Linked DNA regions of Lepisosteus oculatus. The protein of the gene in region 1 interacts with the protein of each later gene in a pairwise test. Links are inferred from orthologs where the notes say so. Each region holds a gene or a part of one and is shown on either strand. Other genes may lie near its edges. The genes, in order: stk16, rpia and kctd14.

Region 1 (8,087 bases):
CAAAACCTAGCTCCTAGTCCTGCTCTACTTACAGTTTTAATGGAAAACCATAACAGATATGTCAAAGTACAATAAAATATTTATTTTTCTTGTATTAATTATCTTTAATTTTATTCAGTTTGTACTGCTGCACCTGCAAAAGTTACTGAAATACAACAAAGACATCAGTATACATTTTTGGCATATAAAAATAATTACAGCTACTCTTCTCAAAACAATTTACAGCACTGATTGAATTTTCCTAGCATTCTATAGCAACATATTTATTACTATTAATAAGAAGAGACTTGATTCATGTATTCAGAATCTCCAAATGTACTGACAAAGTTAACCCGATGAACAGTGAAACAAGAAACTAGAGAAAACAGATGGAAAATAATAACTTTAATATGAGAATAGAAGGCACTTCTGTACACAAATTGTTGTGGGAGTCTGGAACAACCTACCCAGCTTGTTGTTCAAGCCGATACCCTGGCTTCTATTAATTAACTACTAGCAAACATCCTCTCAGCCTTTTTAATGTTATCATACCTTTGTTTTCCTACTACGTAAAACAGCTGGCCATAGGTTTGGACTTCTAACTCTGATTCCAACACTGTTACCAGGCCTGCCAACATGCCAAAAGAAAATCCTATGTGTATTTTAAAACAGGAAGTGAAAAGATTTTACTCTTTTTGTCAGGAAACCAATTGGTAGAATTGGAGGATCCTGAAAGGAAAGGGATATGGTTGGATAATTGGTTCAGAAGTGAGAATTTGTGGAATCTGGTGCGTGTGGGAATGTGATGGGTTCAATTAGGAATAATAATAATTGCTTACACTTATATAGCACTTTTCTGGACACTCCACTCAAAGCGCTTTACAGGTAAAGGGGACTCCCCTCCACCACCACCAATGTGCAGCCCCCACCTGGATGATGCGACGGCAGCCATAGTGCGCCAGAACGCTCACCACACACCAGCTATCAGTGGGGAGGAGAACAGAGTAATGAAGCCAGTTCATAGAGGGGGATTATTAGGAGGCCTTGATTGGTAAGTGCTAGGGGGAAATTTGGCAAGAAAGCCGGGGTTACACCCCTACTCTTTTCGAGAAACACCCTGCGATTTTTAACGACCACAGAGAGTCAGGACCTCAGTTTTACATCTCATCTGAAGGACGGTGCCTGTTTTACAGTGTAGTGTCCCCGTCACTATACTGGGGCATCAGGACCCACATGGACCGCAGGGTGAGCGCCCCCTGGTGGCCCCACTAGCACCTCTTCCAGCAGCAACCTTAGTTTTTCCCAGGAGGTCTCCCATCCAGGTACTGACCAGGCTCACACCTGCTGAGCTTCAGTGGGTTGCCTGTTGTGAGTTGCAGGGTGATATGGCTGCTTGGCTTGGAATGAGATTGTGAAACAGTGGGTTTGGGAACGCAGCGCCGTTTGCGAAGGAGAGTGTGAGACGTGACACTTTTCCTTCTTTTTCTTTTTCCGAAAATCACAGGGTTGGTCACAACAAGCTGAGAAGTAAAACACACACAATTGCTGATTCCAAATCACAAGGGTACCTCAAAAGAGTCTAGATTTGTATGAATAAATCCCAGTTGAAGAGTTTCTTTACCTTGAGAAGGCCACTTGTGGCTGTGGTCTTTGAAGAGCCCAAAGTCCCTGTGGACCCTGGCTGCTGTGATTCCTCTCCAGTCACATCCATGGGCAGGCTGTCGGCCCTCTGTCTCTGATGCTGCGCTAACTCACTTCTGCTTGTAAGAAACTGAGATGTGTGGGAAAGCCCTCAGAGAACAGCAAAAATCAAATCCGCTACTTCAGAACAGGACTTCTTAAAAGGCTAGTGGAGGACATCAACGTAATATAATATAAACAACTGTATATTAGAAACACAGGCAATGCAGCATTTATTGAAAGCCAGCAGCTCACGGCTTCTGTTGCTAACTGAACAGCTGGTTTAAAAATAAACAAGTGAGTTACAGTACATGATCTGTTCATTCACATTCACCAGTTTAGTTTCCCACCACACAGGACAATAAAAACTTCCCGAAAACATTAACCACAATGAAGTATAATAGTACCATTAATTGTAGTAAAAGAAACCCCTCACTTTAGTAGTTACTTTTAATTTTCTTTTTGCTTCGTGCAATATTATTTCTTTGTGAGACTTTATTGTTTTAACTTTTAGTTGTCCTCTTATTATTCGTTTGTAAGTTTTGAGTCTTCATTTATTTCTTGTACTTGCCTGTGTGTATTTATATTTCATAATTACTGCTAACATTAAAAAGTTCAACTTGGAGAAGAAAGGAGTTTCATTTCAGACTTCCAGACTTAACAATTTCCATTTTTTGTTAACAAATACTGATAGAATGAATCTTACTCACATGTTTATTATTCTTATTCAAGTGTTCGTTACTTGTCCTAAGTTTTTAGTTTTTTTAAATGAAACAACTAAAATTTTAGAATTAATTTGACAATTTCCATTTCATTTATGCTCCAAAATTTTTTAATTGGTGACTTTTCCCATTTTATACTGATACCTTTTTAAATTAAAACTGTTTTATCAATTTAGTCGTATCAAAAATACGTTGTTAATATTGCTCTGTTTTCCGTATTGGACTAAGATAACATTAGATAATCTTAGTATGGAAATACTGACATTCAAAATGGCAAGTATACTGGATTTTCAAAAATGTAGGATTTGATACATTTCAGTTTATATTGAAATGTTTATAATAAAAAAATGTTTATTTCTGTATAGTACTGTATGATTATACATTGTAGAAATTTCCTAAGTACTGTATATAAACTAGCTATGAATTAATTGATGTTTAAGTCTTTTTTTTTGGGGGGGGGGTTCTACCTTTTGTATTTTTTTTTGCTTTGTTAATGCTTGGAATACATGGTGAAAAAGTTTCCATTAACCCTCTTGGTCTCCTTCCCACAGGACGAGGAGACTCGGGCTCCATTCAGACTGACTGAACCAAGGGGCAGCTGCAAAGTGGAAATGGGGTGGGGTAGGGGGTGCTTGTTACAGATAGTCCATTTAGAGCGCTTTACAGGTAATGGGGACTCCCCTCCACCACCACCAATGTGCAGCCCCCACCTGGATGATGCAACAGCAGCCATAGTGCGCCAGTACACTCACCATACACCAGCTATCAGTGGGGAGGAGAGCAGAGTGATGAAGCCAATTCAGAGATGGGGATTATTAGGAGGCCATGATTGGTAAAGGCCAGTGAGAAATTTGGCCAGGATGCCGGGGTTTTCGAGAAACATCCTGGGATTTTTAATGACCCCGGTTTTACGTCTCATCCAAAGGATGGTGGCTTTTTACAGCATAGTGTGCCTAATACTGGGGCATTAGGACCCACACAGACGGCAGGGTGAGCTCCCTTATTGGTCCCCCTAACACCTCTTCCAGCAGCAACCTTAGCTGGTCTTCAATCCAGGTACTAACCAGGCTCACACCTGCTGAGCTTCAGTGGGCTGCCAGTTGTGAGTTGCCGGAGGATATGGCTGCTGGCAGAAAGGGAGGTATTGGAGTTCAGTATATTCAGCCAATTTCTGTAATGATGGTGATTAATTCCAGCTGTGTGAGATTGATTTGTCATTGTTTGCCCTCCTGAACTTCAGTTAATAACTTATATACTGTAAATGAAATGTAATTCTGTAAATACTAATATAATCAATTTCAAAAACAAATATTGTGGTTCTCCAGCCACTATGTTATTTAGTCAGGGACCAGTACTTACAGCACATTTCACCCTTATCTTATCCACTGTATTTTGTAAAGTTTTAGAAAGAAGTAAGACAGTTGTCCATCAAGGAGTAGTTAAATGCCACTGAAGAAACAGAACAAACTGCGGAAAAGTATAGTGACTTAATGTAGCACCACATACAGAATATAGCAGGACACCCACCCACTTTTGACAGGTTTGGCTCATTGTACCCTCACTCATAAAACTCTCCAAACATAACACATTTAAAACATAGAAAAATCAATTGATTAAGCAGCACAGGATTAATTCCTTAACCCCATTTTGCCCGCGCTACAGTCTTCTTAGTTTTGAAATAGCTTTGCTGTAGTATGCAATAATTTAATCTCCGTTTCATACAATGACAATTGTTCATGAATGGGACCATTCGCAAACTGTGCTATGGTTCCAAATGAATTTTGGCTATTAAATATGTTGTAATTATTGAATACTTAATATATTGTATTGTAATTGAATACTCCGTAACTACTATTGAAAATGGATACATTTTCAAAACAATATAAACCGTTTTTGCATAGCCAGATGTTTATTTGGAAACGTGTTGACATAGGATGTCCACAAATATATACTGTCTGAACCTACACGTGCATTCTATCAATAATGGCAAACGCTAACTGGGTTTTAAACAATACAGTACTACGCTTGCCCTCCCCAACATCTCGACAACAGCCATAACCTTTAGAAACTCACAACTGGCAACCCACTAAAGCTCAGCAGGTGTGAGCCTGGTCAGTACCTGGATGGGAGACCTCCTGGGTAAAATTAAGGTTGCTGCTAGAAGAGGTGTTAGTGGGGCCAGCAGGGGGTGCTCACCCTGCGGTCCATGTGGGTCCTAATGCCCCAGTATGGTGATGGGGACGCTACACTGTAAACAGGTGCCGTCCTTCGGATGAGATGTAAAACTGAGGTCCTGACTCTCTGTGGTCGTTAAAAATCCCAGGGCGTTTCTCGAAAAGAGTAGGGGTGTTACCTTGGCCAAATTTCCCATTGGCCCTTACCAATCATGACCTCCTAATAATCCCCATCTATGAACTGGCTTCATTACTCTTCTCTCCTCCCCACTGAGAACTGGTGTGTGGTGAGCGTTCGGGAGCACTATGGCTGCCGTCGCATCATCCAGGTGGGGGCTACACACTGGTGGTGGCGGAGGGGAGTCCCCATTACCTGTAAAGCGCTTTGAATGGAGTGTCCAGAAAAGCGTTATATAAGTGTAAGCAATTATTATTATTATTACTATTAACATGAAATGTGTGAAATGTGTGAATGAGAGTTACTGTGTGTTTAAAACAGAGGCGGGGTCTCTCCAGTCGATGACGCGCTGGCCGCAGGAGGAATTTCTCTACCCGGAAATCATCTGGAGGTGAAGATAAAGCGAGAGAGACGGGAGAGAAACGTTTAAAAGGACGGAGATATAACATTCTGTCCCACGGTAACGTTAGATCCAATGTGTTTTCTTTCGGTGGCGGTCTAAATCATTCACTGCACGAGATTATATCCGACTGGTTATAGATTTAAGTAACAATTCCTCTTCCCGGTAGACCCTGCTGCTGCTACTACAATGTTAGATGCTGTCGCTATGATTTAAAACTGCGATGTACGTGCCACGTTAGCATTAAACCATATAGGTCTTTGCGTTCAGCCCAAAGTGGGATGTTTTATATGCGCACTGTGTAAGTTTTTTTTATTTCAAATGAATGTGCGGAATTTACACCCGTGTCGTAACACGCACGTTCACATAAGTAATATGTCATTTGTTTTTAAATAAGGGCTATGAATTATTCACGATGGAGCGCAACCGATGGGTTCAGTTACAGTTAATGCATAAAAGGGTAGTTTCTTTTAAGCGCCACCTTAATAGAAACGCTACATATTGAAGTTTCTTGTGACATAGAAACCGTGTTTTAAGGAAAAGTTAATTTTTATAGTATTGTTATTTTGGTACTACGTTACTCATTTGTAGTAAAAACCAGCAGGAGACAATCGTGTGCATCAGTCAGCACAGCTCTTGACGCGCTCAAATAACAAATTTGGTTATTTTTAGTCATCGTATTACATGTATATTCATTCAGTACTATTACTGAAATGATTTGAAGAAATAATTTACAAACTTTCAAATATACTAGAAAATGTCACTGTGATCCAGTATTCTATGGATCGTGGATAATGTGTATTCATCACAAACACGAGTCTTGCACCACTCATTTTATACTTTGTTTATTCAGTTAGATATCTCTTTATGCATGTGTTCAGAAAGCCTGGCTATTGGTTGTTAGGTCAGCTCGTCAATAGAAGAGTACTGGTTCACAGTTTGGACTGGCATCATATGTACAGTAACTGCATGTTATTCCAATGCATAAACAGGATGTAGTATTAGTGTTTAGGGAGTGTAGTCTTTATCGGCTAGTCCTGGTCAGGGAGATTCACACAACTGTGTGTTTTTGCTTCAGCCAAGATGAAAGTTACACCATTTAATGTGTAATTGACTTGATAACAGGGTGGATTTGAACTGTGTGACTGTTTTCTGCTTTAAGACCTATTGAAGATAGACATTTAAAGTACTGCATTTTCCTCATTAAGATCAAATCCCAAACAAACTCTTGAGTCTGGGGAGGGGGGAATACTTGTGCGATTGTTACAATCCAGCAGTTTATTCATTCAATAAAGGCTTCTAGGAGGTCATTAAGCTCAACTGGAATGAAGATCGGCAGGTGTGTGAGATTGACCACCCCTGGACTCTACAGCCTGCACCAGCAGTCGGAGCAGCTGTGAAGCAGTGATCCAGGGTAGCCTCCTGACAGTAAACCAAGCTCTTGGGTTTCCAAATGGATTCTTTAATTGACCTAATAACACGATTGATTCAAACCATTTGATTTGTTTTTAGCTCTTTAGTGTGTAGGTGGTTGCCCTTTAACTACTGCATTTCATTGCCATAAAATAAAAAAGTAGAACAACAAAAAGAACTTTGACAGATTGGCAATCGAGTGCCTCGTTAGTTCCGTTAAGTCATTAAGCTCGGCTGGAGGGAAAACCAGGAGGAATGTGTTCTGAGACGGTAGTGGTGAAAGCTTCCTGGAATAGGCATTTTGAGGAAAAACGCCACATCTCTTCAAAATGAACCCCTCTTCTGAGAAGAGGATAAATAGGGATAGCATCCCATATTTTAAACAATTTTAGGTGTTACCTTTTTTGTTAGTTGTCTCTAGTTTAGAAAGCATAAATCTTTTCTTGTCTTGATTTAAATGCCTTTAAAAGAGATGGTCTGCCTTTCGTTTATCCTGTCCTAGCATGCAACTGGTGCAAGGCAGGACACGCCCCGGGCTGGATGCCAGTCCAGTGCAAGGCAGGCAAACAGACGCAGAAGAAGACGTGCACACACTCACGCTAGGGCCTGTTTTAGCTCCAGTATTAATTAATTAACCCTCCAGTATATCTCTGTGGGAGGAAACTGGAGAACATACGAACTCCACACAGATAGCACCGCCGTTTCAGAATTCAACCCAGGGCCCCAGCAATTTGAGGCAGCAATGCTAACCATTGAGCCCCTGTGCCATCCCCAAGAGGAAACTGTCATTTTAAAATATAAGTTTAGATTCCAAAAGAGAGTCCTCTGCCTCTGAAGTCAAGAGGTTGCCCAGGGCTAACATCTGAACTGTGCTGATCAGCTTCGACGTCCTGGCTAGCTGCTCTGCCTGTGTGGTTCGTGAATGTAGCACTCGCTCGAGTAAATTAACACTCTTGAAGCCAGTTTTTCTGCTTTTGCACGAATGATCTAGAACCCATGTGCTCTTTCTTTCCTCAGTGATCAAAGGATGTTACAGGGACCATGGGCCATGCCATGTGTATCTGCTCCAGAGGAACTGTCACCATTGAGAACAAGCGCTATTACTTCATCCAGAAACTAGACGAAGGGTAGGGAGCACCGGCTGGGCTGGGGTCTTCCCTTGGGGCCGTGATAGTGGATCAAACAGAAAAGAGGAACAAAATGGAGGGCAGTGGGTGACGGTTGGAGACCGTTCCCTCTCAGCTATGTCCGTGCGTGCGCGCACACAGGTTATACAACCAGGAAATTAAACTGCACACAAAAAATTAAATTCCCCCTAAAGTCCGATGATAAAACAAACACGGTCATCAATTGAAAAATGCTTAATTGACCACATGAGACAGCAAGAGGTCCAGCTTGGCTGTGTGCGCATTATTATTGCTACTCGATGACCGACATCTATGCTCTCGTAGTCTCGTACCTCCCTGCTCATGCAGGGAGCCAAGCCGACTGGGCTCGGTGAATCACTGTCCTGGTCTTTTGGATCTCTATGCTTCTATGCT
Region 2 (7,608 bases), on another chromosome or scaffold:
AGTGACCAAAGTCAATTATTTCACTGATCATATATCAGATCATCCTTGTGATGTGTGTGAACTTTTAAAACGAGTTTTAGGATTCTCTTTGGTTCCTGCTGTGGTGCAGCTGTCCCCCATCACTGTGAAAAGTACCTCAGGGTGCCGGTCAAGGTCAGTCAGGGTCAAACCATTCTGTAGAATCAGCTGACGGGCCTGAAAACAGGAGAGAGAAAAGAGTTGACAGAGCTAGGGGAACCCCATCTCCAGGTGCATCCAGGTCCATCTACACACAAGGCTGCACAGAGCACAAACTTACAACTTGTTAACTTCATAGGCAATTATCTAATGCAGTGGTTCTCCAACTATGGTACTATGGAATTCACACTTTCGCTGAACTCGCTCCCTCTCTTCATGACGGGCAGGCCGACACACTGACCTGGAAGGATGTTGGGACACAGACGATGTTCAGCTTCTCCTGTCGCACTCTTTCCGCTGGAAAACACACAAGCAGAGTATCTGTCAGCATCCTGAGACTGGCCCTTACAGGTTCCCACCAGAACTGAGCAACACCAGCATTTAACTACTGCCCAGCCAGGAAAAGGACAAAGAAGAAGAACCGTCTGCTCCAAGCCACGTGTGTGCAGCTGGAATCTTCCTGCTTCAGACAACAGGGGGAAGGTACCAGGAGGTGAAGGAAAAAAGGAGAGAGGGACACTCACCCAGCCTGTCCACAGCGTAGACGACAGTGGTGCCACTGCCCACACCAACAGCATGGTTGTTCTGAGGGTTAAGAGCAACAAGAGGAAAGGTCACGTGCTTCTTGCTCCTCTTGGTGCCTTTCTGATCTAAAGCATGTCCTGAAGTGTGGACACACCAGCTCACTAACTGCATCAGAGCTCCAGACAAGCAGACGGCAGCTGTTTAAAGAAGAGGTCTCCTCTGGCCTGCACAGGGTCTCACAATCACACCTGTACTTCTATCTCAGTCACACGGCTGGATTTCCTGTCTCAGTCCAGCTGCAGATGAAGAAAGTTCGGAGACAAGATCTTCCAGGGGGCAGCATCTACCTGCACCACTAACTACTGGGCACGACAGAGAGGGGCCGACTCTTCAAGGGGGGGAGGTGACTACGTGCAACTGCTGTCTTTATTCATTTCCTTTCACATTCAGAGCTGTAAAACCTTTTCCCCTTTGCAACAGCCCCTTCTACCTCCACTGTACACTATGCTGCAGCCCCATCTCACCAGGGCTCAGGAGCCCAGCAGGGCTTGGCCTGGTCAGTACTGGGATAGGAGACCTCTGCGGAAAATCAGGTTAAAAAGATGAAGAAAATACAGATTTTAAATGAGGAGAGGCCATTTGGCCCATCGAGCTTGTTTGTTGATTAGGTGCTCACGATCTATGAATGCTGCTGTAAGTGGTGTCGGTGGACCAGTAGGTGGAACCTCTTTGGTGACTGGGAACAATGCACTTCAGTGGTGAATGAATAGGGTCCCCTCCTAGGTAAAGCACTTTGAGATGAAACATGCTATATAAATGCCAAAATTATTATTATTATTATTATTATTATTATTATTATTATTATTATTAACATTTGCATTAAGTGGCTCTTGCATTGCATCTGTCTGTATGTCTAGTAATCAAAAACAGGAAGAACTGTTGTGGGTAAAACTGACCACAAATGTTGCCCCACAACAGTGTGTTTACAGCATCCAATTCACACCCAGTCTGAGACACTCTCTGATAACAGAGCTCCCATGCAGGCCTTTGGAAGAGTGAATCTGTCAACACCTCGCTTTTCCCACTCGGATGACGCATATTATCCGTATTTATTGCAAACGCACAGTTTATGGATTCTCTCTTGTAGCAGTATGTTACTGATCAGTGATAACATTCACAAACATGACATTTGGTCCCCAAAATCGTCTATTAAGTAACTTGACTTGCGCTTGAAAATGCATCCCTGTGACAAAAACAGCAATGCAGTATTGGTAGGACATTGGGCGGCTTGCAGAAATGACCGAGCTCTGCAGTAATCGGCTACAAGGTTTCGACGAAAACCAGGTACCGCGCGCACGAGAGCGTGTATTCTGCTGCTGCTGACCGCAGGGAAGAGTCCCAGCTGCGTCAGGGTCTGCAGCTCAGCTGACACCTGCCCTCGGACCAGGGGCTCCTGCGGGCCAGAACACGTGCTCTTTCAAAACACAAGTACGGGGCTAAAAGACAATATACTGCCTTTTTTTTTTGCAAACTCCCACTGCAACAGAAGGGAAAAAAAACTGTATTTGCTTTCTGCAAACACTGCATAGTTGCGAAACCTGCTGCTGCTGTACACTGATCAACTTTACGGGTCAGGCATCTGGAGGGTAAGCTAATCACCCTGTTAAACTACGGAATCATGTTGTTAACTGCTAAATGAGGGTTAAAGACTGAAACCTAATTTGGAACGGAAGACCAGGTTGTACGTGATCAAGAAGCTTACTCATGAAGTTTAATATATGAACAAAACTAGCATACGAAATTTTATTGACACGAGGGAGACTCCAATAACGAGCTTTCTTCACCATGACGAGGCACAATAGGTTCAATGCAGCAGATATAATTCTGAGCCCTCAAGCTGAGCCGACGTCTTGTGACTCAGGAGGGGGGTTAATTTAATTATACAGTGATCAATCCTGCACAACCACCCCGTGCAACAGCTCTGTGCAAAGAGCGCCGCTGCTAAACCTCGGGTATGTAGCTCTGCTAAGTGCTGTGCACTTCATTAAAACACAGCGCACGTCCCTCCTGCAGCGATCTGTCAATTAGAAGAAATGCACAGGTATTACCGGAGTCATTCATAGTCTTTACCTGCACGTGATTGTCCACGGCAGCATAGCCGGCCAGCTTCTTTGCATTTTCAGCCATGGTTCTCCTCCCGCAGCAGAAGCGCCTACACGAAAACACGTGTCCCTCGGCGAATATCTTCCTGCCAAGACTCCCCGGCCTCCCCAGAAAGCCAGCTGCGAGAGTCTCACAGATTTCCCTTTGTAACCTCATAATCCAGCCCCCTTGCCTCGCCGGCCTCCACTACCTCAGGAAGTCGTGCAAAAAAAAAAATCGGCAGTTGTCTGCAACGCAACCCGAGCCGGTAATAGTAGTTTTTTAAATTTGCTGAACGGTCGAGTTACGAGTGGGTTGGTCCCAATGTGAACTACACTTCCCAAAATGCAGTGCATACCGGTCGCACGGTGTTCATATTTAACTCTTTTGTACAGAGTCAAATGTTGCTTGTATGAGTGTACGCGAACAGTTTGCGTATTTTGAAGTCTGTAAATTGAGATTTACGGGTTTGCTGCATTCAGCTTGAATGGAATTGATTAAGCAAATTAAAAAAAAACCTAGACGTCCTCTATAAAAAAGTAGGTTCCAAAAAATGCCAAGAACTTTACGGAGAGTGTGGCTCACTCTCTCCATTATGAATTTACACTACTCCTATCTGTGTCCCCAGGGGTAATGGAAACTCTAGCAGGAAATCTTTCATTCTATATGCAATTGCTTTCTAAAACATGTAAAACAAATCTTATCTCCTATAACACTGTTCTACTATATTATTTGTTGGAGACGTTTGTTGTTTTTCCAGTACTATTGTGTTGCACCATAGAGACATTGATTCATCATGTAAGGTGGTGTATAGAACTAGGAAAGAGTGGTAACAATTGTTAATCCTTAAACCTACAGTACGTTATCAAGGAAAAAAAAACTAAATGTGAAACTTTCCAGGGGTCACAGAAAATAGCCAACATTCTTCAGACCATTTTATTGTTGCCGGTAATGTTATTGTCAGTAAGATGCACAGCGTTTATTACAGGCATAGCAGGCAAAACAAGAAAAACACTCTTTCCAAAATATCCAGATATTCTTAAAATGCAATAAAATGACTGGAGTGGGTCGGAACAGAACCCATCTCCACAGGATGGGGGTGCATGGAGAGGCAGAGCAATAAAGAGTCAATAAACCTGTTTGTGAAGCCTCCACGTCTCAGAAACTCAGTTTACTAATAATTTATAAAATTATCTAAAGTTCCAGGTTTTTATATTCTAATATATAAGAAAAGAATAAAGACCAAGAAACACCCATGCTGAGTTATAATAGCGTTGTAAACATATCCTGGTCTAATCACAGCCCAGAACAGAGACACGGGGAAGGGAGGTTTGTTCAGTGAGTTCAGCCGGAGGGGTGCTGATGGACTGACTGGTCAGATGGAGTTCTTGCACAGAACACACAGCCAGTGCCAGGCAGTGCAGTGCTGGTGTTCAGGGGTCACAGCCCCTGCTCCTGAGACTCCTGCCTGTGTCCCCCTCCAGCTTAGAAACTCAAGCCCTCAATACATACCTTGCCTGGATAGATGTGCTTGGCATCATCATCATCATCATCATCATCATTGTCATCATCATTATTTTTGTTATTATGTTTGTGTGTGTGTCCATCTGAAATTAGGACAGCATTATTTTTACTATTTTTAGCAGACTGGTTAGCCAGCTTCCACGTATTGTCTCCCAGTGTCTCAGGTCTGGGCAACAGTACAGCTAATGCAAATGTCATCACAGTTTTACTTAAAGTACTTACTATAACAAACTCATGATGCAATTGTTGAGCTACTTATTTGACTGATATAGTATTTATTTAATAATGTGTATATACATGATGTGTATATACATAACATATAGGCACTAAGATTAAATGAAATAATTAGTCATCATACTGTATGTTCATGGTACTTTCTTATCTGTGACAGTACAGCATCTATTCAGTGACCCAGCACACAGGAGCTGGGAGCTCAGCCTGGTCTGCTGTCCTGGTCCAGTCTGATCTCAAAGACCATGGACTCCTGTGCTGTTACACTGACCTGTCTCAACCTGTGTGTCCAAGCCTGTAACCACACAGAAACTGCAAAGACACACAGCCCAGCCTGGTGCTGGCGCCCACTCCTGGCCTGGTACAGGCACAGCAGTGAGACTGTCACTGATTGAAGATGTTTCATTATGTTTTCTTCTGAGGTGTTTATGTATACAATCTGTATTTTCAGAATAAACATGTATATTATAAATATAGGTTATATGATTTAAATGTGTGAGGGACTGTCCATAGCACGCTAGAGGGTCTGGTGGGGCAAGTAAATTAACCAGATCAGCTGACTGGCCTGCTTGCTTAAGAAAAATTGCAAACCATTCAGCCCATTTGGCAGTCTTTCAGCTGGTCTTATGCTGATGAAAAATGCTTTGTTTTGTGGGGCAAAGCCTTACTGCAATTTAAGTAACATCTTAAATTTTCCAAATAAATTCTCGTGAGTTTTCATTACTAATCCGCTGAGCGCACTCCTGTGAGTGTCTGCAGCCAAAGTGGGTTGGAGTTGCACAGACTGTGCCACAGTAGCCTGTGAATGTTCAACTCCAGGGGTGACCGGGTTTAGAAAGCTTCCTGTCTCCAGCTCCCACACGTGATGGACAGCACCTGAGATCTGAGATCTGAGCACCTGAGGTTATGAACTAAATCCCCACCTCCACAGTGAGGAGGAAAACTGTGATGAAGAGCAAACTGCCAGCACTTTACAGAGGAACAAGTAATAGGTTTATTCCATGCTGAAAAAAAGAAGAAAGAGAACACCACGTTTCGGCCGTGGAGCCTTCTTCAGGTGTGAAGGTGTGACACCTGAAGAAGGCTCCACGGCCGAAACGTTGTGTTCTCTTTCTTCTTTTTTTCAGCATGGAATAAACCTATTACTTGTTCCTTTGCAGCCTACGCATGCTGACGCAGCTACCCACCTGAACTACTAGCACTTTACAGAGTTCAGGATAGCCTAATAAGAATACAAGGCACTACTAGAAATCCATATGCAAACCAAAGCCATTGCATGAAGCAGAGAATGAGGGTCCTTCATCTTGTCCCAGTAATGTCCAGCACAGATGATCTGTCATGCAGACACTGTCCCTCCACCCTGGGGTGAGTGCATGGGAAAGCTGATTAGGCTACACCGTCACATCAGTACTCAACATGCAAAGATTATAGCATATTGTGAGGAGGACTATAAAAACCAGCATGGGGGCTAAAACTGTACAGTATATGCTACAGTAGAGTTACCATGCTTTTCTGTTGCACATGCAGTGTGTTAAGTAGTGAATATTTAAAGGAGAACTGCAATCCCTAATTCTCAGATCGGTTATTAAACCTTGGTAACAAAATAACGTCATTGACGTTGTAGAAAAATATCACAAATTTCGAAATAAGCATGAACTTTGTGAAAGTACTACAAGTTGTCATGTTGTTGCCGACTTGCATTTGATTGCCCATGAATTGCAACGTGAAGTGGTCCTTCCTGCTCACCAGTCTCCGTAATGACTAATGTGATGTTATGTATGAGCGACATGTTGTTGTGCAGCAGACATTTCACTGCGGAGTGTTCCAATGTGTTCTGCATGTGGAGTTAACTAGTAGTATTGGTCTACAATGGAGAGCGATATTTCTATTGGATTAGAAGAGATGTATTCACAAGTTTGCTTGTTTACAATGCTCTTCAGAAGTTACTCTATACATTTTACTTTTATTGTGATGAAATTAACTCATCAGTGCTTTACTGAAATACTGTATAAAACAGCCTTGCAGTTCCCCTTTAACCCCATCCCTGTTACTGTAGTCTAAGTGCTGCGAGCACAGTCAGACCATGAGCCTGGAAGACTGCATCCTCCTGGTTTTGGAGGTTTTAAGCAGGAGGAATCACAGCGGTAACTGGCATGTGGCGGCCAAAGGTTTAAAACAATGTTGCCTTCAGACCCTAAAACCAGCAGTGTACAGTACAGCAAAATCACCATTTCTGGACATGTGGGATTCAAAAGGGTCTTGCTTCACAGTAACTGGCTCTTCGTATGTGTTGCACTAAACCGCCTCTGCTCATTGCGCTTAATGCGCACGACCTCTTATGAAAATATGGCAAAGACCTAGCTGATCATGTGACAATTGCAATTTACATTCAGCTGTACATGTGGCATCATGTCTGCTCTCTGACAGTGCTGTCAGTGAGGAAGTGACAAGCTGCCCTGCAGTGCCAGGGATCTGCTTTCAATCTCTCAATTGGACTGGTCTTCTTTCCAAAATTAAAATGCAGTTCATTTATTCGGAGTGATCTGTTCTGAAAAATCATTAAAAAACTGCTGTGTGTAAGCGTCATATAAAATCCTTGTATGGACACCACTCTGTACCCTTCCTATACTGTATATAGTGGTGCAGTATCAATGAGTGCACATCAAATACCCACCAGACTCCTGTGCAGTCTCACTCTACAGCCAGCCCACTTGCATCAGGATCACAAAAGGCACCAAGACCACGGCCCACCCTGGAGCAGTCGGGGCAGCAGCAACAGTATCTGTCAGTGTACAGGTACCGGTTAGGACAGGGGACAGAGACCTCTGATTTTTCACACCACACAAGCAAGGCAAAACACTAAACAGAGTTCAGATCAGGGGAGATTCCTGGCAAATTCAATCTAATGTGATCACATGGACAAACACAACTATTACAGATAGGCAGAAAAAGAAAAAAAGTGAAATATCAAATGGGTGGGACTGAACTAGAAGGAGCTATGCAGTGGAA
Region 3 (8,023 bases), on another chromosome or scaffold:
TGGACCGCAGGGTGAGCGCCCCCTGCTGGCCCCACTAACACCTCTTCCAGCAGCAACCTTAGTGAGTTGCAGGGTGATATGGCTGCTGACGTAGTCTCTCTCAGTCTGGCAATGGCTTGAAGTGATGAAGTTGGTTCAGTGGCAGGTTGGGCTATGGTGGTCACATTAGTCTTTTTTTCTGCCAAGCGGCCAGAGATGTATAGTACAAGAGAGCAATTCCCTTAAGTCATGTCATCTTGAGCGGTGAGTGGTTGTGACATCTATCAGAGGCACGGATATAGACTCTTCACCAATGGGGGGTGTCAAAATTGACCCAATTTATGACATCCTGGTTTGTATTAAAATGCAAATGCATTCTGTACAGGCGCTAAGCTACCCGGGTCATTTTCTGTTCAAGGCAACAGATCGATTTTCGTACTCTTTCTGAACACATTTATTGTACTCCATTAAAAAAAAAAAAATGACCATTACAACTTACCAGATAAAGACAAGTGGCAACTGACTAAGAGTTTCTGTTGATTTTATTCAAAGGACAAAGAAAAGAATCTTGTAAAAAAATATCTAGTCTTTATGTTTATATACACTCATTTCACAATTAATAATTTGTCACTGATTAAACATAGAACATTAACATAATATAGCTCTACAACAATCATATAGATAACAATCACAGTCAATAGAAAAAAAGTCATTTGTTCCCTTCTATAGAAACTACTTCTTTAAAACAACTCCCTGCAAAAAGAAGAGGTTGTCCAGAACTCGGAGTAGGAGATAAGTCAAAGAAGAGGGAAAAGTAAGCTGTCAATCATCCAAATGTTGAAATCCATGGACTAAGCAAATTGATTTTTTGGTAACATCACATGATGAACCAATAAAGAAATGCAAAAATATGAGTTGACAAATTTCTCCTTGTTACTCAGTCTTGTTTTTGCTTTTTCCTTTTCTGCTAAAATGCTGATCTGGACGTCCAGGGGCAAGTTAAATTTCAGCCACTATCCAGGCTTAACCTGAACAGAAAATGTCGAAGGCCAGACCAACAAGGTGATCTGCAAAAGCAACTCAGGTGCCAAGAATTCATCAAGAGGCTAATATTGAGTGTACCGTTAGCTGGCACTACCACCAAGTGAATATGAATTTGTAGAAGAAGTCGTAGCTTTTGAAACGGAATCCCTTGTCCGCAACGTGCTGCTGGTAACTGATCTTGTAGCCTTTGGCCTCGATGTCCATTTTGACACAGTCCAGCAGGTCCATGGCGGTAGGCGATGCTTTCCAAGGGCCGAACCTCACCACCGATTCTTTATCGGCATCCAGGCTGTTGATGGCGTCGTTGTACCGCGCAGAGTCCTCCTCCGTCCTCAAGACGCTCACGATGACGCTGGAGTGGCGAGCGGCCATGGCCTCCGCCCGCGCTATCCTGATGATCACCTCCAGGTTCTCCCGGTAGTTGGGCACCCTGGCCAGGAACTGCTGCCTGCCCACCACCTCCCCAAATATCTGCGGCGAGTCCTCCAGCTGCTTGGCTAAGGGCTCGATGTCGTAGAAGAGGGCTTCCTTGTAGACTTCCGGCACGTTCTCGGTGGGCAGCCGCTGGGTGCGGAGGAACTCCAGGACGTGTCTGAAGTGCGTCCCATCGCGGTCAATGAAGTAGCGTCCCTCGGCGTCCGTCCTGAGCTTGGGCTGCCCGTTAAACATCTCGGCCAGCTTCGAGCTGGGGAACCTCCGCAGGGTGCCCAGCGATGTGCTGTACAGCCGGCCACCAACGTTGAGCTGCACAACGGGTGAATGCTGGGAATCCAGAAGAAAGAGGAAAACAAAATAAGGACAGGTGCCCCTTCTACACACCGGGGCTGGTAAAAGCATGTATTTTTTTTTTTATCCAATTCGAGACCAACTTGGACAATCTGAAACAAAAATCTATTCTGTGTAGTACCAAAGTATTAAATTGATTTACATTCAAGTCTCTCTCATACACTTATACATGCATTCGTTTACTGACAAAATTCCAGGGAAAGAATAATATGTAAAACTAAGGTGGGTATATTTAGTTACCTGTATGTAATTCAACCCGAGTTAATTATTGGATAGGAGCTCGAGCTCTTAGTCATCTCAACATTCTTATTTGTTCTGTTCTTCTTTAGGTTGTCTCGGTAAACCATAGGTTATGCAACATATTCCCCTTTCACTTGGGAGCTGCTGAAACACGGCCAGTTTTATTAGGGTACAAATCGGGTCAATATAAAAAAAACGCACTTGTACTGTAAGAGTATGCAAATATCAAAAGTACTAATACATATAATGCAAAGCGCCTTCCAACACAATTTCTCCACGTACTAAATCAGTAAAGCAATTTATGCTATTAATCACCTCAGAGGGCCCAATTTAAAAAACAAATGCGAGGGGAGTCCCACAAACTGAGACTGCGAGACGAGCAGCATACATTGCAAAGTCGCACTAGTTACTACGACATACATACCCTGTAATTTGATGAATGACGCAAAAAAGAGAAAAGTCACAGTGCGACGTCTCTTACCATCGATACACTTTCATTTCTTTACGCGAGCGCTGTTCACACATATAAAACCTTATTTTTCTAACTTGTAAAAACTGGTTAGTGAAACCGGGAAAAAAAACCGTATGTTAAGTATGTTTTCATGTTAAGTTTTGAAAGTTATTGTAGTACGAGACGTCTCCGTACAACAAGGGGAAAAGACGGTTGTTTCTTAGTACCTACAAATTTCCTTACTGTGTTCCTAAACTGAGCATTAACATTTCCGAGACAACAAACGGTAAACTAGCATTGTTCTATCAATTCTTCCAAAAATAACCTGGTCTAAATACGAACCATTCTGTTCAAAACTTACCAACTGCAAATTGGTGGTACATTGCTTTCCTGGAGATTTATATTCGGATTGATTCATTTTTTGTGTCGAACTGCGACTACATGAACCTGTCTTCTACTTGATTCCGGAGTTCCTTTAGGACAAGGGGATTATAGCTTCACCGAGGAGGGTGTGGTCTACAAACTTTTGCCGAAACCACTCCTCGAAAATTAACCACGTTGTCGAACATTTAAAGAACCAGCGCTTTACTGTTAAAATATCAATATACAGAATCAGGGTAAAGTTAATAAACCTTTACCAACTTGAAAACAAACAAAGAAAAAAACAGTTCCTATTTCTTCGCTGAAAGTAACGCAGTTAGAGGCTCTAAATCTTAAAACCACGTACTCAGTAGTTACTTCTGAACGTCAATTATTAAAATACCAGGCCAGCTAACATATGGTTTCAAAGTACGCATTTATCTAAAAAACATTTAGGTACGCGTGTCATGAAATATTTTTGTATGATCAAATATATTAAATATATTTGGTGTAAGTAATTTTGATTCTAGTTTATCTGGATTAAAAGCGACATACTTCGCTGTTCTTGCCCTTTTAAAATATTCATAATGAATTAAGGGTGATGTACCGAGTGAAGGATAATTGTGAACTGAAGTTAAAAAAAAGCATCATTTTCACTAAGTCGTCCGGGACTAACTCGTCACGAAATATTTTTACAAAGCCGTAATTTAGTTGTAACAAACTATTTGCAAAAGGGCGTATTGTGCAGATACAGATCAACTAACACTATAACCTCTCATAAGATATTTACACTGGGTTTGAGCAAATCAATGAGCTGATAGTTTTCACTTCGTATCATGGGGTATTTATGCCAACGCCTAGATACTGAAAGCTGAATCACTTGCCCGTGTTTGTCAAGAAAACCCCGGGAACAGTGGTTTCACTTTTTAATGACCTGGATAACAGGCCAGTAAGTGCATTCTTCCTTCCCTTATTCAAGACGATACACGTAGTCAGTGGACACACATGCCATATATTGTATCCCCAGTCAGAAGTGTTTCCATACAGCCTACATAAATGGCTTTTCACTAATACATTTAAAAATCACTAGTGTTATTTCCGTGCGTATTTGGTTTAACTATTTCAACATCCATACAAGACCACTATATTGTTCTATGCATAAGAGCTTGCTTTGTCACATCTCCAACCTCAGTATCTTTCTTTTGGCACCAAATACTGTCGGGCTCAGCACCCCCCCAAGTAATTTTGTGAGGAACATATCGATTTTTCAGAAGGATTTAGCATTTATCGTTCAACTTCAAATGAGCCCTGTAATGTACAGGACCTGCATCTCATTTAAGAAACAGAGACCCAAACAATGCCAGTTCTGCACAGAGGTATCCCAGCAGAGCTCAGTGTGTGAAGGAGATGTGAAGGTTCAGAGCAAAACTGGTCAGCAGGGGTTTGCTGCAGGCCTCACTGAAAGAATGCCCCTCCAGTTCTTTTTCCGACACCCAGAATCTCCTCTCAAAATACTTGTTCCAGCTGAATGAAGTGGTAAATTAACAGCAAGTATGTAGCACGAGTACAAAAAGTTATGACCAATTTACTTTACATCTGTTACATTTGCATCATGTAGCTTTTATATTTAGCCACCTTAAAAAATGTTATAAATGTCACCCCATTCCTTAACAAAAAACACCACCACTTCTGTGCCACCGAATGACTAAAGCACAGTTTTCTTATACTACCCCACAACAAAAGACAGAACCTGGGACATGTCTTTTACTGTTTTATTGAAATTTTTACAGAAATTGTCCACAAACTTCCATCTCCAGATGTCAGTGGATACCTGCAAAGGAATAAAAAAAACTATGAGTGACAAATCGATATTACAGAGTGTTATAATATTGGATAAGGCAGCAACTCGAAACAAGCCAAACACCCTAAAGATGCTGGTGCACTTAAGGCAATAGGTAATAATGAATTGTCAAGACCCTTCTCAGACAAATGCCTCTATGTCATCAAACAATAAGGACACTCTGCTCAGGGCCCTGCACTCGGGGACACAGAACGTGGCCCCCAGCCAGGACACAAGAGACAGGATGGGTCCTATTCGGACTCGTCATCGTATCATCACTGAAGGGAGTTCACTAAAAAGTCGCCAGCAAGGGGCGTATACACATGGACCCCTAGGACACCAAGTTCAGAGGCAGGTGAAGGTGCAATATTTAAGGGGCAAAGGCCATTCAGCACATAACTTCAACACTTCCAAGAGTTTGCAGAAAAGATGCGTTGCAGGAGTGCAGGAGGTAAAACTTGAGGCCCAGATCATGACCCTTCTTACCTTTATGCTGTGGCAACAGGACCCGCCTGAGGCATAACGGGGGCCTCGGGCTTGGCACCCTTCTGCTCAGAAATGGGGGTGGTAGGCAGGACCTCATCCTTGGGCTCCACGATGCTGACGTGGTCGGGAAGGGGCTTCTTGGGGCCGATCTTGCCGGTGGGATCCCAAGGCAACATGATCTTGACCTTGATACCCAGCACACCTGGAGACAGAGAGTACAGGTAACAGGTCACTCAGAGGAGAATGAACATGGTGGGGGATATACAATGCAGAGCATGTTAGCAGGAAACAACAGGAAACAGGTCTTTCTGGTAACCCAAAACGCACACAGCATAATTCCCAATAAAAAACTATCATATTTGATGTAATTAAACATACCTTTCAGTAAGATTTAATAGATTTATGTTTTTTCTCTAAAGCTACATTTCAAAATTACTACGTACAAAGCATGTTTCAATATTTTTTAACATACTGTCCATGAATGAGATACACTAGGTAAAAGCATCATTTCCACATGCACATCAAACCTGAGGTTTTTACAGCAGTGTAAAGTGCATATTTCATTATTCATTTTTCTTAGTAGTTTTCCAGGTTTTAATATTACTAAGTTATCTAAGGGGGGAAAATAAATCAAAGTTCGTTCCATTTCCCACAGGTAGGGACCCCTTTTAACCATCTCTGGACTGCAGCACCACCTGGGCAAAGCACGGCAACAGCAGCCCACATCACAGATTGGGAGAAATGAGGAATTGCTTCACTAATTGAATTAAAGGGGGGTGTCAGTGTATATTCCAGATCAGAATTTAGCAAGGACAGTCGGGTTAATGCTCTAGTTTTTAAAATGATCGCATGTGATACTTAATGACCAAGCAGTCAAGAACTTGGTTTTAATCATACCAAACATGCACAGTGTCCCTGGGACACTGGTTTGGATGATGCTCTCAAGAGAAGTGTGGTACCTGCTGGTGCATGCAAAAGCCAAAAATACAAATTGCCATTTACAAATAAAACAAAATCTTGTGACAAACTTAAGCCCTTCTCAGACAAATGCCTCTATGTCATCAAACAGTAAGGACACTCTGCCTAGGCGCCTGAACTCAAGGACACAGAACGTGGCCAGGAGTCAGAACACCAGAGACAGGCTGTGTCCTGTTCAGACTCGTCATCGTATCATCACTGAAGGGACTAGCCCCAGCCCAGGGTGGCGTCTAACAGAATATCACAGACATGCATAAAGCCAGGGAAGAAATCATAAGTATAGCAAACTAATGACTAGAGAATAGACTTGACCGTACTACGGGTCAACTACATTAGATGGCAAGATCTACTGCTGTACATACCCTGTCTAAGCAGGACGTGGCGGACAGCTGTGTCAACGTAGTAGTTGACAGGGTCACCACTGTGGATCATCAGCCCATCGACAAACTTCATGGACTTGGCTCTCTGGCCTCTGAGCTTCCCAGACACCACCACCTCACAGCCCTTTGCACCACTCTCCATGATGAACCGCAGCACACCGTAGCAGGCTCTGGAACACAAGGAGGCTTAGGACTTCAAATGCACTCTCACTGCTTTCTTTCAAGATTGCAGCAGTTAGAAGTTAGAAAGTTAGCAACCTGCCTAAAGAGCACTTAAAAAAAATCAAATGAAAAGGATTACCAATATGATTCAATGACCTGAGTAAGTGCCCATATGAAGTTCCCAACATCCTTACAATGAGATAATGCATTGCATTTTAATGCACTGCTTACATTTTTAGTAGAAATTCCTGGTCTGTGCCCATCACATGTGCCAAAAACAGACATAGCAGAACCTCGTTGTAAACAGGCACCTGAAACCGTTTCTTTTCAGCACAGAATATACTTTTACTTGCTCCTTTGCAGCCTACCCATGCTGAAGCCGCTTCCTGCTTAAACTCATTGTAAACAGCTATACACAGCATTCAAGTGCACAAGTGAAAAGCCTTCAAATCCAAGTTAAACTTATATCTAACCTACAGTAGTCTAAGAAAAAAAAGCCTTTGCGGCTTTACACCAGCGTGAGACAAAGGATTTGCTACATGAGGCAGCAGTTTACAAGCCCAGCAGCTCTTCGTGCAGTCAGCTGGCTGTAAGTCTTAGGAAATAAACCCAGTCAACACAACTGAGCTTGTTTTCTATTAAAAAATGGAATATGTTACAAGTTTTTTTTTACACAATGTAGCAAGCATAAAGCAAAACCTCATCTAATTTACTCCCATGGATTTATGTAAGAAAAGGCGTGGATTCTTATTCTAAAGGATCCAATCGCATAATTGAGCCTGTAATTAAACAATTTCACCTTATGATTTTAAGGCTATGTTCATGTGTATGTATTGATTCTAATTAGAAGATCCTTCTCAGACAAATGCCTCTATGTCATCAAACAATGAGGACACTCTGCTCAGGGCCCTGAACAGAGGGACACAGAACGTGGCCCCCAGCCAGGACACCAGAGACAGGATGGGTCCTGTTCAGACTCGTCATCGTATCATCACTGAAGGAACAGCAAAGTACTAAACCAGTGGTTCCCAAGCCTGGTCCTGAAGGAAGATGTTGTCTGCTGGTTTTGATTTCGGCTGAACTATAAATCTCCGGGGCTGATGACTTAATTGATCTACTAGCTTATTTAAACTGTCTCCAGGTTCTTCAGGCAGTCTCAATTAGTAAACCCCACTTGGTTCAAAGTTACTGTTGACTACTGCTTGCTATTATTTCTGACTGAACAACTCTTACTGGTTGAAAGTTGTTCTAATCAGGTAACAGTTTAAGAGACGCACATGAAATCTAGCCAAAGGTCGTCAACAATCATAAACCCTT

What was found.
Region 2: the proteins of stk16 (region 1) and rpia interact in binary tests that used the Homo sapiens proteins (3 or more experiments, as listed by UniProt). The two-hybrid records come from large-scale screens. The link is inferred for Lepisosteus oculatus from reciprocal best matches to the Homo sapiens genes STK16 and RPIA.
Region 3: the proteins of stk16 (region 1) and kctd14 interact in binary tests that used the Homo sapiens proteins (3 or more experiments, as listed by UniProt). The link is inferred for Lepisosteus oculatus from reciprocal best matches to the Homo sapiens genes STK16 and KCTD14.

The regions. Positions count from the first base shown.
Region 1 is NC_090707.1:32,206,156-32,214,242, reverse strand, and holds the start of stk16 (serine/threonine-protein kinase 16), read left to right. Parts: upstream 1-5,084; 5' UTR 5,085-5,193; intron 5,194-7,563; 5' UTR 7,564-7,587; coding exon 7,588-7,673; intron 7,674-8,087. Other genes in the region: uncharacterized protein c2cd6, read right to left, coding at 1,601-1,690. UniProt on the Homo sapiens protein: Membrane-associated protein kinase that phosphorylates on serine and threonine residues. In vitro substrates include DRG1, ENO1 and EIF4EBP1. Also autophosphorylates. May be involved in secretory vesicle trafficking or intracellular signaling.
Region 2 is NC_090696.1:29,001,100-29,008,707, forward strand, and holds the start of rpia (ribose-5-phosphate isomerase), read right to left. Parts: upstream 3,078-7,608; 5' UTR 3,022-3,077; coding exon 2,833-3,021; intron 763-2,832; coding exon 702-762; intron 475-701; coding exon 419-474; intron 196-418; coding exon 136-195; intron 1-135. UniProt on the Homo sapiens protein: Catalyzes the reversible conversion of ribose-5-phosphate to ribulose 5-phosphate and participates in the first step of the non-oxidative branch of the pentose phosphate pathway.
Region 3 is NC_090700.1:9,860,706-9,868,728, reverse strand, and holds kctd14 (BTB/POZ domain-containing protein KCTD14), read right to left. Parts: upstream 3,090-8,023; 5' UTR 2,919-3,089; coding exon 2,862-2,918; intron 1,786-2,861; coding exon 1,114-1,785; 3' UTR 504-1,113; downstream 1-503. Other genes in the region: rps3 (small ribosomal subunit protein uS3), read right to left, coding at 5,189-5,388, 6,527-6,714.